Lonchura striata: one gene and its partner. The protein of the gene in region 1 interacts with the protein of each later gene in a biochemical or structural test. Links are inferred from orthologs where the notes say so. Each region holds a gene or a part of one and is shown on either strand. Other genes may lie near its edges.

What was found. The genes of interacting proteins can lie anywhere in the genome.
Region 2: of the proteins of SYK (region 1) and FLT3, one has a biochemical effect on the other in vitro, tested with the Homo sapiens proteins (2 studies listed by IntAct, with this or other methods). The link is inferred for Lonchura striata from reciprocal best matches to the Homo sapiens genes SYK and FLT3.

The regions. Positions count from the first base shown.
Region 1 is NC_134642.1:7,797,309-7,805,281, reverse strand, and holds the start of SYK (tyrosine-protein kinase SYK), read left to right. Parts: upstream 1-4,886; 5' UTR 4,887-4,994; intron 4,995-6,329; 5' UTR 6,330-6,391; coding exon 6,392-6,414; intron 6,415-7,973. UniProt on the Homo sapiens protein: Non-receptor tyrosine kinase which mediates signal transduction downstream of a variety of transmembrane receptors including classical immunoreceptors like the B-cell receptor (BCR).
Region 2 is NC_134604.1:68,999,676-69,007,654, forward strand, and holds the start of FLT3 (receptor-type tyrosine-protein kinase FLT3), read left to right. Parts: upstream 1-4,890; 5' UTR 4,891-4,965; coding exon 4,966-5,020; intron 5,021-7,979. UniProt on the Homo sapiens protein: Tyrosine-protein kinase that acts as a cell-surface receptor for the cytokine FLT3LG and regulates differentiation, proliferation and survival of hematopoietic progenitor cells and of dendritic cells.

The DNA.
Region 1 (7,973 bases):
AAATGGAAGTGGCTTTTTGATATCCTGACATAGCAATTATCCATAGAGGCAATCACCAGTGGACCATTTAGAGATGGAGCTGCTGATGCTGTGCAGAGAACAGGACACCATCAAAAAAGAGGCCCCTTTTTCCAGCCTGGCAGTTTGTCATGCAAGAGACAGGGAAATACTGCCTATTGGCCCAGAACACACTGAGGCCAGGTGCATCCTCTTGCTACCCAGAGTGATAAATTTGCCTTATCAAGAGTATTCAGTTGGTCCAGGGGTTGCTAATGGGCTTACTTTTTAGGATGGGAAGAGTGGGCACATATCTCTCTCTGTGTATAGTGTTTCTGGAACATTCTATGTTTTATATGAGAGGAGAGGGTAGGTTTCAGTTTGTTTGCTGGTTAAAATTAGTTCCTGCCTGTTAAGAGACTGTTCTGTCTTTATATCAATGAGAAGTTTTTTCTGTGCTGCTTGTTCTGATGATAAAGGCTGATATGGGGAGAGATACAGACTTAGTCTTTTCTAAATGGCTGATGCACTAATGAAGAGTCTGTTTTGCAAAGCAGTCTGTCTTTTATGATACCTGTGTCCTCATAAAACATAGTCAGGAAGAGCTGGTGCAATTGTTGGATTATAGTATTTTTCAAGAAAAGCATTCCTTTCCTAACAAAAACTCTGTTAAATAAAGAATGCTTTACTGCAGGAGTGTTGAGGCACTTGAACTGGTTGCCCAGAGAACTTGTAAATGCCCCTGGCAGTCTTCAAGGCCAGACTGGATGGGGTTCTGAGAAACTTGGTCAGGGGGAACGTATTTCTTCCTGTAACAGGGGGTTTGGAAGTAAGTGATCTTTCAGGTTCCTTCTAACCTGAACAATGCTATGCTTCTATATTTCTAATTATTAGATAGATTTTAAGAAAGATTTTTACTGTTGTCAGCCTGGCTATGTGAGCTAGTATCACATCTTCCTTTCAAAAAACAGAAATGCTTGACCTTTTTTCCCATACCTCTGTGGGTGTCAATTCTTTGTGAGTGTAATTTCCATTAAGAGATGGTGCTTACAGTGTGTCTGTGGCAGAACATTTACCTGGCCTGTGCTCCTAGCAGAAGCTTTTCAAAAAATAAGAAAACATGGCATGGTTTTTATAGACTCTAGAATGTAGCACTGGGAAGGCTTGCCCAGTTTTATAGAAGCTTGCCTATTCTAGGAGTATGACAGGCAAGTTGTTTTTGTTCCTACAGTAATTTCTGTGCTTTCTATATAAAGAAGAATACTGCAGACTGTTTCAGATGGCAAAATAACCTTGGTCTGAAAGAGGAACCTGCCTCATTTTACCACTCTGACTCATGGAGCCAGTCCATTGAGGCATCTGTTCAGCAAAGGTTTTAGCAATTACAAAGATGGACCAATAAATTTCAGATAAGGAATGAAGTGTAATGGGGTCCAAGTGTTCTTGCTTAACAGTAAGTGAAGGCTAATATTCATGGCTGAGAAACTGAGACAATTTATATATCCATAGCCTCTAGACTTGGAACTGAGTAGAGACAGACCTGAACAAAGAAGAGGAGTTAATCCCTGCATAATAACTTTGGAAATGCCAGCCTGCCACAATTACTGATTTTTAAAAAGTCTAATGAAGACACTTGTTGGAATGTAAAATAAACCTATCTTGTGGAACCGCAGTGATGTTTATCTGAAACTTTGAATGAAATGTGGCATTTTGTCTTAGTCCTGTAAGGCTATAAAACTTTGAGGCTGTTGTAATAATGTTGAATTTCTCCTGGATTTTTTTTTTTTAATGGATGAAGCTTTTCATTCACTTTCCATTTGGTTATAGCAACTTGCTTCTATAATTCATGATCTTTAGTTCTGAGATGTCTTGCCAGCAAATTTGATAGAAATGTCAGAAGGAAGGAAAAACAAAGTTATGGCTTGTGGATCCATCCACAATTGGATGCTGGTCCTTCTGGAAGCCAGCCTTTCTCAGATCTTATGGTAAAGAAAATTTACAGTATCATCAGCTCTCTGCCCAAGGCACTCTTTTGTGTGTGTTTGGAAATTGGACAGATATTCCAGGTTTTGACTTCCTGGAAAAAGATGAATGTTTTGAATCAATGTTTTTGGTGTAGCACTCTGATAGATCTTTTTCTGGCTACTTCTTTCTGAATTGTGAAAAATAATAGACCATGGTGAACCTTGAAAGAAGATTTTGGGACTGGGAGAAAATTTAGTGATAGTTAGATGTGTTTTGTTTTACTGTGCCATCACTGTCTTGTCCATAACAGTTTTGTTATTGCTGTCTCTGTGAAAACTCTTTTGTAAAAATGAAAATGTATTCCACTTGGCAACATGCTACACTGTCATATTTAATGTCACTGTAACTTGGACCCTGAAAATATGCAGGCCATTGGCTAAGCTGTTCAATCTCTTTTTAGTGGTTTCAGTGATTTCTTGCAAGAAAGATTATAATTTTTTTGTTTTGCTCTTCATGTATTTTCACTGACTTTGTACGCTCATTTCACAGCTCTCTCCATGCAATCATAGTGTGATCTATGGCATGCAAAGGAGTTTTACTTTTTACTGTAATTCTGGGAAGTAAATACATGTTTGAAACAAAACCATAAAGGAACAATGCATATATGTATATATACGTGTGTGTGTGTGTGTGTATGTATATACATTTATGTATGTCTCAGTAGCTCCTGAAGGGAGATAGTTGGGGCTCTCTGAGTAAGACTTTTGTAACTGCATCCCAACACAGGCTTTTTTTTTTTCCTTTTTCTTTTTTATTCCCCCCTCCACCAGCATTTGGAAGATACAATTATACCTGCAATTGTACAATTATACCTGTACTATTCTGCAGTCACTACAGTGGCACAGCTGATCTTAGTGAAGATATGTCTGTGCCCAAAGAAGTTTGCTCACATCTTATCACAGCAGGAAAATGGGAGATTAGACAGGGATCTGCCTGCAGTATCTGAAATGCTTTCCTGCAGATTTACCTCATCCCAGTGGTTCCATTATTTATACGGTGGTTTAATAGGGACAAATCACAGTTGAGTATTTTGTCCCCATAGAAATGATGCCACCCATTTTATGTCTGAAATTCTTGATTTGATGAGAGACATGTTTGGCGAGAGGCAGTGTTTGTATTTGTGACAGTGTAAGAGTGGAAATAGATATAAGGGAATTTAAAAGGAGAAAAAATTGTTTGGGGTTTTTTGGTTGGTTTTTTTCTATTTTTAATATGTGTGAAAATCATAGGATTTTTTACTTCCAGGGAAAGAATTACTGCAATCCATAAACACCTATTTTTTTTTTTTTTAATTCTTTCACAGTAGCATGCTGAGCTTTATAAAAGACCAAAGCAGAAAAACTTCATTAGAGGAAAACTATGGCATATGAAAAGATTACCAAAGACATGAGAATCCCAAAAGAAAGGTGTATAAGAGAAACAATAGATTCCTAGCATCAGTGAAGAATGTTTTTTTTAGTGATGAATGCTCCTTCATGAGCTCAGGTCAGAAGCTTTTATAGAAAAGCCCTAAAGAGAACATGAATGCTCTGGTACTTTTTCTAAGCATCTGTTTGCCTTGTAATAGGGCAGTAATTGTGTTGACAGGTCAAGTAGTTTTTCCTCAGGAAATATTTCAGCAGCTAGAGTGCCTGGAGTAGTCTGATGATATCAGAATGTCAGATGCAATTTTGAGTAAATGAGGGCATTTCTGGGATGTTTCAATAGAGAAAAAAAAAATATCTATCTGTCCGCAGTATTGATTAAGATGACTCCAGAAAGTAAATCTATAGGAAAATATTTTATAAAATCCAATTTTTTGAAGCTCCTGAGGCTTTTAGGTGTGTTTGTGATATTCCTTTTTAGTTCATTTTATGAATGACTCCTTAATATAGTTGGTAGTAGATGAAATACCAATGCCACCTGTTTAGTAGGCACATGCTTGTTCTGATATGGCCAAAATGCTGAGGATTTACATGAATGAGGGCAAAAACTCTTTCGTCTTAAGCTGAGAAAGAGGCTAGCTAGGCCACTAACTTTCATAATAATGATAAAACATTAACCTGTTAATTAACAAACTGGACAATCCTAAAGCTCAGTGATCATATTTTTAGATCCAGGTTTTGAATTTCCCATCAGACAAGTGTTCTGGTCCAAAGCTACCATGTTCCCTATTTTTCCCAGACAGATTTTAATTGAGCTATGTTTCTGTAAAAGAATACATTGCAGTATTTAAAAACCTTAGCAGAAACACCGTTGTCACCCTAAAAGCATCACAATATAAAATAAAAAGCAAAAATATCTGAAAGAAAGAAAATGCTTCTGAAACCGAACTGTTAAAGTAAAATATGGAACTTGACACCATAGAGGTTCTAAGGAAAGAGCCCAGTGTTGAAGAAATAATAAAAATTTGACAACATGTACTTGCTAGCATTATTGTCAGAATGAATTGACAATATGAACATATAACAATATGAAACTTGCTAAAAACTAGCACATGCTTTCTGTATCTGTCAGCACTGGGAAGGAGCATCTGTGGAATAACAGCAAAGTCTTTGAAGATGAAAAAGGCATTTTTAGAGTCTGAAGTACAAGTCAAAAAGCAGAGCAGTATAGCTTAGATTGTTAGTAAAATGTTGCAGAGCTCAGAGATGAGTGTTTGGTTGTATGAGGAAAACTTTTCATGGAGAAGCTGGAGAAAACACATGGAGAAGGAGGCCCAAGCATGAGTGATGGAAATGTTGCTGCAGGCTGTAAGCTGATTGGAGCACAGCAGGTGCAGACTGAGACACAGTGCCCTGAGCATCAGTACTCAGCAAGGGCACTTCCCTGAGGAATGCCAGAACTCAAGGAAATATAAGTGTCACTTTTTCCTTCTAGACACATCCCCTTCAGTGTGATGAGTGGGACTTTGTTTGAAGATATCTACAAAAGTTGCAAAATCACCAGTATTACCAGTTGAACTACACCGGATTTCAAATGTTTCTCAGTAGGTCAGTAAATTCACTCTAGTGCCCTGATCAAACTCTAATTTGTTTGAATTACTTTATAAAATTATATTCTGTTGTATTTCCCTGCCTTGACTTCCTTTTAGACACTTGCTGTTTTCTTCCTTTGTTTCTGCGTAATTTGCTCATAAAAACTCCTTTCCTAAGGTGTAGATAGAAATTAAATTTTCATGTTTATACAAAAAGGTAAAGGAGGCATGTAGAGGTAATCTGATGATCAAATTAAGACCATCGTTCAGCTATCTACACACACTGGAACGTGATTTTAAGGATGCAAAAATAAGAATAGAACAGTAATTCAAATCCATTTTCTTTGTTAAACTTCTTCAGATTTAGTTTTTTAAAAGTGAGGTAGTTGCAATGGATTTATAATACTTCAGTGCCAATTATTTCAAAGTGTGCATTAGTTTGGAGTATACCTTTAAGGTTCTCCTGAAACCATGAAACTATAAAAATATTTAATATAGTATATCAAGTCACCATCAAAAGTGTATTTATGATTCTATGCATACTGAATTTCTTCTAGTTTTCAGATGAGTTACATAAGTTGAAAATATGGTGAAGAATCTTAAAAAACTTGTGCTGCTTTTCTCAGAGGCACACATCTTGATTCCAAGAATCCTAATTAAATAGGATCTTCAGAAAACTGTACATTCATATTATTCTTTTTTTATTAATGTTTTCCAGGGTATAATTAGAGAACTGTTGAAGTTCTTAAACTTCAAGTGGTACTTAAAATATCACCCAGTTCTAGAACAAATTGTTTCAATAAGCATATTTTCATCATTTGACACTGTCTAGTGTGCCTTATATGTATGTATGCATGCAAGACATTTACTTTAAACCTTACTTCTTTATTTTCATACCCTGCTCACAGAATACTACTTTGGAAAACAAGAAAAGGTGAAAAAATAGCTGCCTAAATAAGGAGCATTTTTTTGGCACACTATTTCACCACTACATGGCTTTTGATCTTTGTCACATTTCAGTCATCTTATCCATGAAGGAATAAACTAATCAATCAGAAATTCCTAAGTCTCTCACCATTATACTGTTTGGTCTTTTTAGAAAAATTCATATTCCTATTTATATTTTTTTTAATGTTAGAAGGGAGATAGTACCTTAGTAATATTATAATATTTGCTAAGCAAACTTTTCAATATAGTAATTATTCTCCCTTTGTTCTTGTCTAAATATTAGATTAAATAGAATTAAGCTAAGTTTTGCAGTGTGGTTAGCAGAGATTTTTTTTCTAACACCTTCCAGGTGAGTTTTCCTTCATTTTGCTCATCTGTTCTGAGAGAATGTTTTGCTTCCTAGTATGCATGAAATGTGTGAGGTACTAAACTCTTGTGCTATGGCAGAAGTACCCTGCAGAGCTGATGAGGAAGCTGCCTGAGAGGAAGTGAGTACTTAATTTTCTTATGTGTTTGTGTAATATTTTTCTTTCACGTAGGATACGCCTGATATTTGCATGCATTTGTAGCTTCCTTAAAAGTCATATTTAGCGACCAAGGGGAGAGTTGCACTTAAGACCCTCTGTGGCTGTTATGCTCAAGTGCCTCTCTTGGGTAGCCAGCCACACTTCCTTCAGCACTCAGGAGGGTGAAGCCTTACATTCAACCTTAGGGGTCAAATCTCCATTTCACAGCTTCATGTTTGTAACTGCACTGGCTTGAAAACACTGCACTCTTTGTGCACCTGGAAAAACTTAGAGGAGGAGAAAACTCTGAATTCAAGCATTTTCTTCTATTCCTTTACTGATCCCAGAAGGGTATTGCACTCCCAAAACAAAGGCAAGATTTTGAAATTCCAAATGAAGAGAATAGCCATCCCAAATTCAGACATTCTTCCAAAATTGTTAAGTAGTTTTTAATCATTATCTAAAGTTTTTTTGTGATTATTTGCCTCTATGCATGCCCAGGAGATGCTGCATCACTCCAAATATTTCCTACCATTGCTAAACACTAAATATTCTTCACATATTGGAAAGTGGGGTAGAAAACCTGGCCTGAAATAGACCAACGGTAACATATTTTGTGAAAGTAAATCAGGCCATTGTTTTCTGAAACAGATATAAATAAATAATTTGTAAAATATTAGAGATCATCAGAATCCTGCTGCTGTTCTTTTCATAACTGAGAAATATTCTTCTTGTTTTGGAAACCTGTTATACACCAGACCTCCTCATTCTGAAGATTTAACAAACAGTCCCTCACCAGTGCCATCACTGACATTTCATCTAAATTGAAACCAGTGGATTTCCCCCTGCCCTTCTGCCTTTTAAGAACTTTTTGTTCCTGAAGAGTTTGTAGAAAACATTGAGATTAATAAGAGACAAAAAATACTCTGGAGAATAGCCTGATTTGAAACACATTATAGTCAAAGTGAATTTAAATTTCAGTAGTCCTAAAGTTTTTTTGTAGACAGGGATGATGTGTTCACCCCCTCTAACCTTGTCTCCCACCCCACTTTTATTAGCTGTTATTTTCATTCTGAAGTTTTTTATCTTTTTTAAGTCTGAAACTAGAAGCATGGCAAAAATTAACTTTAATGAATTACATTAATTAAAATAAATTTCTACAGATGAAGATTGTGGTGATATTTTTCTGCTTGATACATGTTCAGTATGTATTACTGAGGTGTTTTGAGCAGGCAGTGCAGTACCATTCTTGGCATGAGGCACAATATGGGATTATTTCTTCCTTTTCTGCAAGTTGTACATTGCTGGTGAAGAGCCAGTGTTGATCATTCATGCATCCAAATTCTTTCCTTACTAAAAACCTAATAGTAAATCTGTTTTCTTCCATCTTTCCTGAAAGTGGTATTGAAGACTTAGAGCCTGCCTTCCAGCACAATTTTGCTAGAAGTTGGGTGATGTATATTCATCTCCTAACCAACCAGAATGTGTGGTGCATAGTGGAGTAAAAAAAAAAAAAAAATTACATGTGGGTGTGTGGAGGA
Region 2 (7,979 bases), on another chromosome or scaffold:
GGCAATCTTTCACCTTCTCTTCATTTCTGTTCACTATATACAAGGATGTGGCCTGAAGACTGACCAGCAGGAAGTGAGTGTCCATATGGGAGCCTGACACCTTCTCATTAATCATGTGTTCCCCTCTGGATTCTGATTTTAATTGCTTGTTCCCGCTGGTCAGCCAAAATGCTGAGGAGGACCACAGACCGTTCTCTGTCTGCTTCAGCTTGCTCCCCTGCTTCATGTAGTGCATGGGGATGTACTATGCATTCCTGCAAAGGAGTGATTGATGATGTTACCTCTTTCACAAAACTAGGTCGCCTGATCACCACAACTGGCACCTGTGTGGAGAGTGTTGCTGTACTTTGCATGAAATTCAGGAAGCAAGAGGAAGGCAAAAGAGATTGATACCCCTGGGTCTTGTCCCACTTTGTAGTTAAGTGATAACTGTGGTGTGCTTTTTGACCCAGAAAGGAGGAAATACCACTTGTATGCATGCCTGCAGCCATGGCCAAGTGACAGAGTGTCACTCTTATGAGCTGTGCCAGAAAGGCAGAACCAAACATTATGAGATGAAAAATCGAGGTGGGGGAGGGAAACCTTGGGAAGGAAACATCTGCCAAGAGCTCTTTTTTTCCAGCCAAATCAGCTTGCAAGTGCCAAGCAACTCCCCCCTAACATTTGAACCATTCTTGAGAAAGCCATGTTTGCTATTGAGTGTGACACCGTCTCTTTGTATCAACCCAGAATTAACTTATTTATTAAATCATGTGGAAACAGATCCTTAAGTGCAGGCTGGCATCAGATAATGCAAATGAATAGCAATACTTTTTAAGGGAAAGAGTTACTGTAGCTGACTTTTTTTTTAAGGTCTAGGTGAGACAAGTTTTGTAGGTAGGAATCTTGTTTAACCAAATAGTTGGAAAAGGTAATGTGTGAACGCTGGGTTTTTTCCAACAGTACCAGCTGGGTCTATTAGAAGATACTATCTCTACTTACAAAACTGGCCTTAGTATTGCTGAAACAGATCAAAGGAAATACTTCTAAACAAAGTTTGCACATAATCCAAATTTACCTTTTAAAGTCTATCATTATAGTATATAATTAAGGAAAAAAACGGATGTGATCAGGGTCTACAGTAATATTAGAAAGAATTTAGCATTTATGAATTTTTCATAATTGCTAATAATTATTTTTTTTTTTTTTCAAATAAAGCCTAATACTTCAGGCTATATACCAGCTACTGTCTGAAGTCAGAGGGAGATTGCCACTCTTGAGGAGGTTATTCCACAAAATTATCTGCCTTTGAAATATTTGAGGATTACTAACATGGCAGTCAGGATATTGGACTGCATGCAGTGACCTGCTGTGGCAATACCCATGGGTCCCTAACTGGGCAGTTGTCTTTACTAAGAGTATCGAAGAAACCAGGTGTTGCTCCTAACCAGACTCCTGTTCATGTGCAAAAAGAAATTCATTTCAACTCAGTGAAGTTTTGAATTCAAATCAAGTCACAAATCAGGAGTTGACCCTGAAGTGCTCTTCCTAACACCTACATTAATAATGTATGCTAAACCTTATATTAATAATGTATGGGGGGAGGTCTTAGCCCTAAGCTAGAATTAAAATTAGTACGAGCACTAAAATACAAGTCTAGTTTCACTGTGCTGGTAATCCAATCGTATGGTTCAGCTAGAGAATTTCTTACCATGGTGCTGCTCCCACTGGCTTAGGCTTTATCTGCTTGTTGCAGTGAAGGCCAACCAGGATGGATAAGCTGGATAAAACACTTGATAACAGAAACCATTTTCTCATGGTGGAAAAAAGCCCTGCTTACTCATAGAATGCTTTGCTATTGTATACATGTGTATGATACATTAATTGAACCCTTTTGGACCCCAGTCCAGCATCTTTAGGAATAAGTTAATATGGCAGAACTTATAAATATACTTTGGCTTAGTCCAGTAGATGTGAACTCTCCTAGCTGGATCTTTCACAGAAGCTTTTACACTGAAAACCTGACATATATGTTAAGGCTTCTGATACCAGATCAGCTGAATCACCAGCAACCGATTTTCATTATTAAACAGTAGTTTCTCCTTGTCAGAATCACAAAAAAGCAAAATATCTTCAATGGAATCCTAGCAGCTACCAGTGCTGAGTGCATCAGATGGAAGAAAAAACAAAGCACTTGCCAATTTTAAATCAGAGGACAAGAATCCACTTGCCTAGTACATATGTAAGTGTTTAGACAGGTCTTTGTCAGGCTACCCTACCAACAGTGAGCGCTCAGTGGCTGGGATAGATGTCTGTTATTTTCAGAACAGAAGTACAAACTGTCTACCCCTGTTTTCTGAGGGCAAAACCTCTATATATGTGTAGGGTTGAAAGGGGTACAGGAAAGTACAAAACGCATAATTTGTAAAGATGTTGAACTGATTTGGTCTCCCAAACCAATCCCTAAGGAACACCACTTGTCACTGCTCTCCACTTGGACATGAAGCCATTGACCACAATTCCTTGAATTAACCATCCATCCAATTCCTTGTCCACCAATTGGCGCCTCTGTCAAATTCGTATCTGTCCAGTTTAGACACAAAGTTTCATGAAGGACAGTGGACAATTCTTTGCGTAAGTCCAGGTAAATTATGTCAGGCATTCTTCCCTCTCACCAAAGCTGTAACCCCATCATAGAAAGCCACCAGATTTGCCAGGTGCCATTTGCCCTTAGTGAAGTCATGCTGACTGTCACCAGTCACCACCTTATTTTCTATGTGCCTTCTTATAGTTTCTAGGGGAATTTGCTCCAAGATCTTGACAGACAGCAAAACTGACTACACTGCTCTGTAGTTCCTTAGGTTTTTTTTTTTTTCCCTAAAGATGGTAAAGGATTGGGGTATCTGGTAAGGGAGTGAAATGGCTGGGGCTGTTTAGCCTGTAGAAGAGAAGGCTTGGGGGGAGCCTTATCAATGTGTATAAATATCTGATGGGGGAGCCCAACTCATTTCAGTGACAGAACCACCTGCAATGTGCACAAACTGTAAAAGAGGAAGTTCACTCTGAATATCAAGAAACATTTTTATACTGTGAGGTTGTTTAAGTGCTGAATAGATTGCCAGGAAAAGTTGTGGACTCTCCATCTCTGTTGGTATTTAAAACTGTACTGGATGTGCCCCGGGGCAGCCTGTGCTAGCTGATCATGTTTTGAGTATAGCACTGGACTAGGCAATCTTCAGAGGTGCCTTGATACCTCATTCATGCTTAGGGTCTGTGTACCAGTGTGGGCAGTGGAAAAAAAAGGGGCAACCTACCAGCCAAGAAAGCTTGTTGTCAGCATGGTATTTTCCTGTTTGCATCAATTTCTTTAAAGCCTATGGAATCCTATGCTTCTTTTTCTCATTTTTGCATCCTTGCAAATATGTACCTCCCTAATTTTCATATAATTTCAGCTCCTTCCTCTGCACTGCAAAACACACAAACTTGTGTTGAGCACCACAGTACAATGGTACTGACTCATTCAGTGTGTCTAAGGCAGTCTTGTGAGAGATCATACAGTCATATCATGAACAATGCTGGCCTCTGTGCCCCATTGCCTCTGCAGTTGCCTTCAGGATGTTTTATGTGTCTTCTTTTAGCTATGGTATGTCTGTCTAGTTCTGATTAATCTACTTTTTTTTTTTTTATTTCCCTAATGCAGAAGGCAGATATCAATAAAAAAATCTAAATATAGTCTCTGAGATGTTTCTGAGAACACTTTACCAATACTGAGTTTATTTGTTTAGGGATTCTTTTTATCCAGGTTCTGAACAATTGCAGAATCATTGCTCAGCCCTTGGCAAGTAAAAATAACAACTGAATGAATAAAAAATACCATTTTATATATAAAATACAACAGCCAAGCAAATAATAAAAATCCCCCAGTCTGTCCTGGGGAATCATAGAGGGGAAGCTCAAGCTTAATCCTTAGAACTGGGACTGATTTGTGCTTGGTGACTGTGATGCACAGCTGTGCAAGGCAGGGAGATCTGTCTGCCCCTCTGCAATGTCCTGTTCTGGTACAAATCAGTGGGGCTTGCTGGCCCCAGCAAGTTCTCCTACACCTGGAGCAGTTCCACCTCTTACACACCAACAACCTGGAGCCGATGAGGAGGCAGCTCCTGAAGCACTATGCTCCAAGGAAGGTGGCAAGCAGGGACAGGCTAAGGGCAGAGGGATGCTGCCTCTACAGGTTTGCATTTCAGCCTGGAGGCCTTTGTTTTCATCCCCTAGACAAGTAATCTGTGTAACAGCTTCAGAACAGCTGTGGCTTGCTTTGAACCTTCCTGCAAACAGTGCTAGTTCCCTGTTCCCCCTGGTATAAGCACAGCCCCATGCCACAGGCCCACTCCCTGCCTTGGTGGCAGCCCCCAGGATCTTGGAGGTGACCGCAGCAGGTCCTCTCTCACCAGCAGAGCAGAGGCTCACCAAGCATGGGAAACCTCCGTCGGCCCACCACGACAGATGTGGTGGGGTATTCCCATGGTGTTGCACGAACTTAATTTGGATTTTTTTTTTTGAGCTCTTCAGCTTGGCAAAACACTTGCTCTTCCCCTCATCAGGACTTGTAGAAATTATGCTAACTGCCAGTGTGTGAAAGCAGAAATTGTAACTGCTTCAAAAATAAGAGTTGAAGTGAGACAGCACAAATTTACAGGAGAAAATATGTCTTAGTAAGCATGAGCAAAGGACTTGAGACTGAGCAGCTGAAGTGGAGGCAGCTGCTCAGCTTGGTGGAGGCATCCTGTGACAGAAGGAAGATGCTCCCCGACCCCCAGAGAGGCCCCTCTTCTCCACGTCCCACAGCCGTTTCCTTGTGGCTCAGGTCTCGAGCCCTCTCATTTGAAGAAGTGGTTTCACTCTGGGCAGTGACATGCACCCTTAAGGCAACCACCTGCAGGCTCAGTTTCACTTGTGGGGCCAGGGCACTGCAGGGCGCCACCAGCAATGACAGCGAGTTGGCCCCACAGCTGCTCCACTAGAGCTCCATTTCATCTCGCAGGTGAGGTCTTCTCATCACACTCCTCAGGCCCTTTCATCTCCATTCCCCACTCTCACTGCACCCCTTCACATCTTTCCTTTCTCCTTTGATTTCTTCTTCTCTTGAATCTTTTATTTTCTGTCTCACCTTTCTTCTCTCTTCTGGAGATGCTCTTCTTTCTCCCATCACCCTAATCTCTCCCAGCCCAGCCCAGCTTTTTCTCTTACTGCATCTGACACATTTTATTCTCAAGGCAAAAAGTATTTAAATTACTGATTTTTTTTTTGTTCTCTTTCTTCTGATGTAAATGTATTTCCTGCTGTTAGTGCTAGCTTGACCTGAGCACTTTAAATAATATACCTGCAATTTCCCACATAAATAATCTATGAATCAGATACCTTAGTAGAGTGAAATATAATGATGTATCATTATCTTTTCAGGTTTTGTTGTTTTTGTTTAATGATCTAAATTGAAGAAAACATGATATTAATATATAGAAAGTACTCTTTGCTTACTGTTAGAGTGAAGTGTTTTGGAATTTAAAGCTTGATATCCTCTACTGAAAATCAGCCCAGCAATTAGCTGTTAAGAAAAAAGGAAATAGCATTTGCTTCCATCTCAAATGCCTGAAACTGTTTTTCTCTAAAATTAATGGCTTGTTCCTATCTAAAATGATCTTGCTGATTCAAAATCCAGGACTGGGTGCATGTTTTTCTCCTGATATAGTTCTAGTACATACCTGAGAAAGTTTTTTAACAACCTGTGGTCCATTTTCAGCTCCATATACAGAGATAATAATACTTACTTCAAAGAGAAATTGTTAGATATTATTCAGTTATGGTTGAAAGTCTACATGAGCTATTTGAAGAGAAGGTGGAGTAAAAATGAAAATTAATACTTTATGATCTTGTGCTTTGCATGATTGCTGATACTACTAAGCAAACCCTGTCAAGGAGGGATTTCTGTGTTTTCTTCTTTGACTGAGTTTTGCTATTTTGCAGGCTGCCTAACAAAACAAATAAAAATTACTAGCATCTGAAATGTAATGGTGCCCAAAGACCTGTCAGTGTGGGTAAGAGACATTTGTGCAGAGAGGCAAAAAGGTGTGAGAGCCCCAAGATATGATTATTCTCTAGGAGGACTGCTGTTCTTTCTGCTGAGATATTATTTAGTCAAGGCAAGGTGCACAGGGAGGCAGTGTTTCTTCTCATAAGGCTGGCTATTATAGGAGAAAAAGTGCTTTTGGACATACAAAGCAGTTAGGATCTGAAGCATCAGAGACAGACTTAACAGCAAAAATCCTGAGAACTGCTAGTTCCATATATGTCTCTAACAGATCACTCTTAAAAACAATTTTGATGTAAATAATGTGAAGCATTCAATAAATTATATACAATCTCTTAAAAATACCCGTGTCCCCTTTGAGAATCTGTTTTCTGATTGAGATAATATTGAGTAATAAATTGTGCAGACAACAGATGGTATCCATATGATGAACCAGTGTCATCAGAAATGGCAGCACTTAACCAGCAAAGGAAAGCTAAAGAATAATAACACCTGGAGGAAAATCTCCACAGTATCTTTAGACTTAAGGCAGCAGGTCAGTCTTAAAATTACAGGCTCAGAACTGCAAAAGTTTCAAGAAAGAACAAGCATCTTGCCTGTGTTATTTGTGAATAAATGCTCCCCAGCAGCAAGAAATTTAATCCCAAGAACTTCAGAAAACAATATACACAATACTATATATGTAAATACACCTATATACATTAAAAACACTATTCCAGTTTCTCATCTTACATTCTTCTGGTCATCCCAAACAAGAGTTTGTGGCTAAAGGGAATGTTATCTAGCATACAATTAGCCTTGCATTAGTGGATGGGGCAGGGATGGGGCCTGGGAACAGATGCAGTAGTAGTTTCGTGTTTTACAAATTGAAGAATTTTGTAAAAAGAAACATTCAGTGACCTTTCTCATCAGAGAAAGTTTTCCACTGACAACCACTCCTGCATCCTTTTTTTTAGTTGCACCCCTTTCTTACTGAGAGATGTTCATAAAACCCAGTTTCAGGGCACCTGAGAGAAATGAAGATATGAGAAGCTGCCTAAGATCTCCCTGTGGCTGGCAAATGAGAGGAAACATATATGAGCAAGGACTGCAAACTCAGATTCCAACAAGGTCCAGATTAGATTATGGTGTGTCTGACTGCACAAAAATTATAGAGTAGTACTGTTGAAAATTCCCTCACAGAACATATAAGTGTCCATTAAATTCCTATGACAGAGATCGTGGAAAATATGAGGTGGGCCAGCATGTTTCTTTTAGAGGAGAACCCAGAAATGTGTGGGACCCAGCCACCTGCAGGATCTGTTAAACTCACAGAAAATTGGATTTCTCTCCAACAAAACAGCTGACAAACATTCCAGAGCAAGTTAAGGCACTGAGCCCTGCCACTGGCAGGAAGGTGAAATCAATGAGCACCCCAGGGGGAACCAAGTTTGATCTTGTCTCTTTCCCAAAACATGCAAAAACTTGGGTGCAAGCTGGTTTTGAGTATTGGATAAGGCCAGTACATTGTCTGTTCACTCAGGGAAACTGTTGTGCCCAGCAGACCACATATTCATGGTCATCCATCACCATATATTTCATGGATCAGAAGATAAGGTATCACTTCTGAAGATTCCCGAAGGTGAAAGGACTGTGCAGGAAAATAGTTGTTTTCCGATGAAGTAAATGCAACTTAAAACTCTGGGTGTTTTGTGTCTTTTGAGGTTTGGGGCCATTTGCTTTTCCCTTTCTTCAGAAAATTCCTCTGGTTATCCATATTTCAATGTACTGAGAAGCTGGAAGATGCCCAGAGTGCAGCCCAACTTCCAGGGCTGCCCCACATCTCTGCCCAGTGTTGGGTGGATGCTGCTGTTGTGGCTGCTCAGCAGAGGAAGGTTTGTCAGCAAAGCAGAGCTGTGGGCATCCTGTCCTGCTG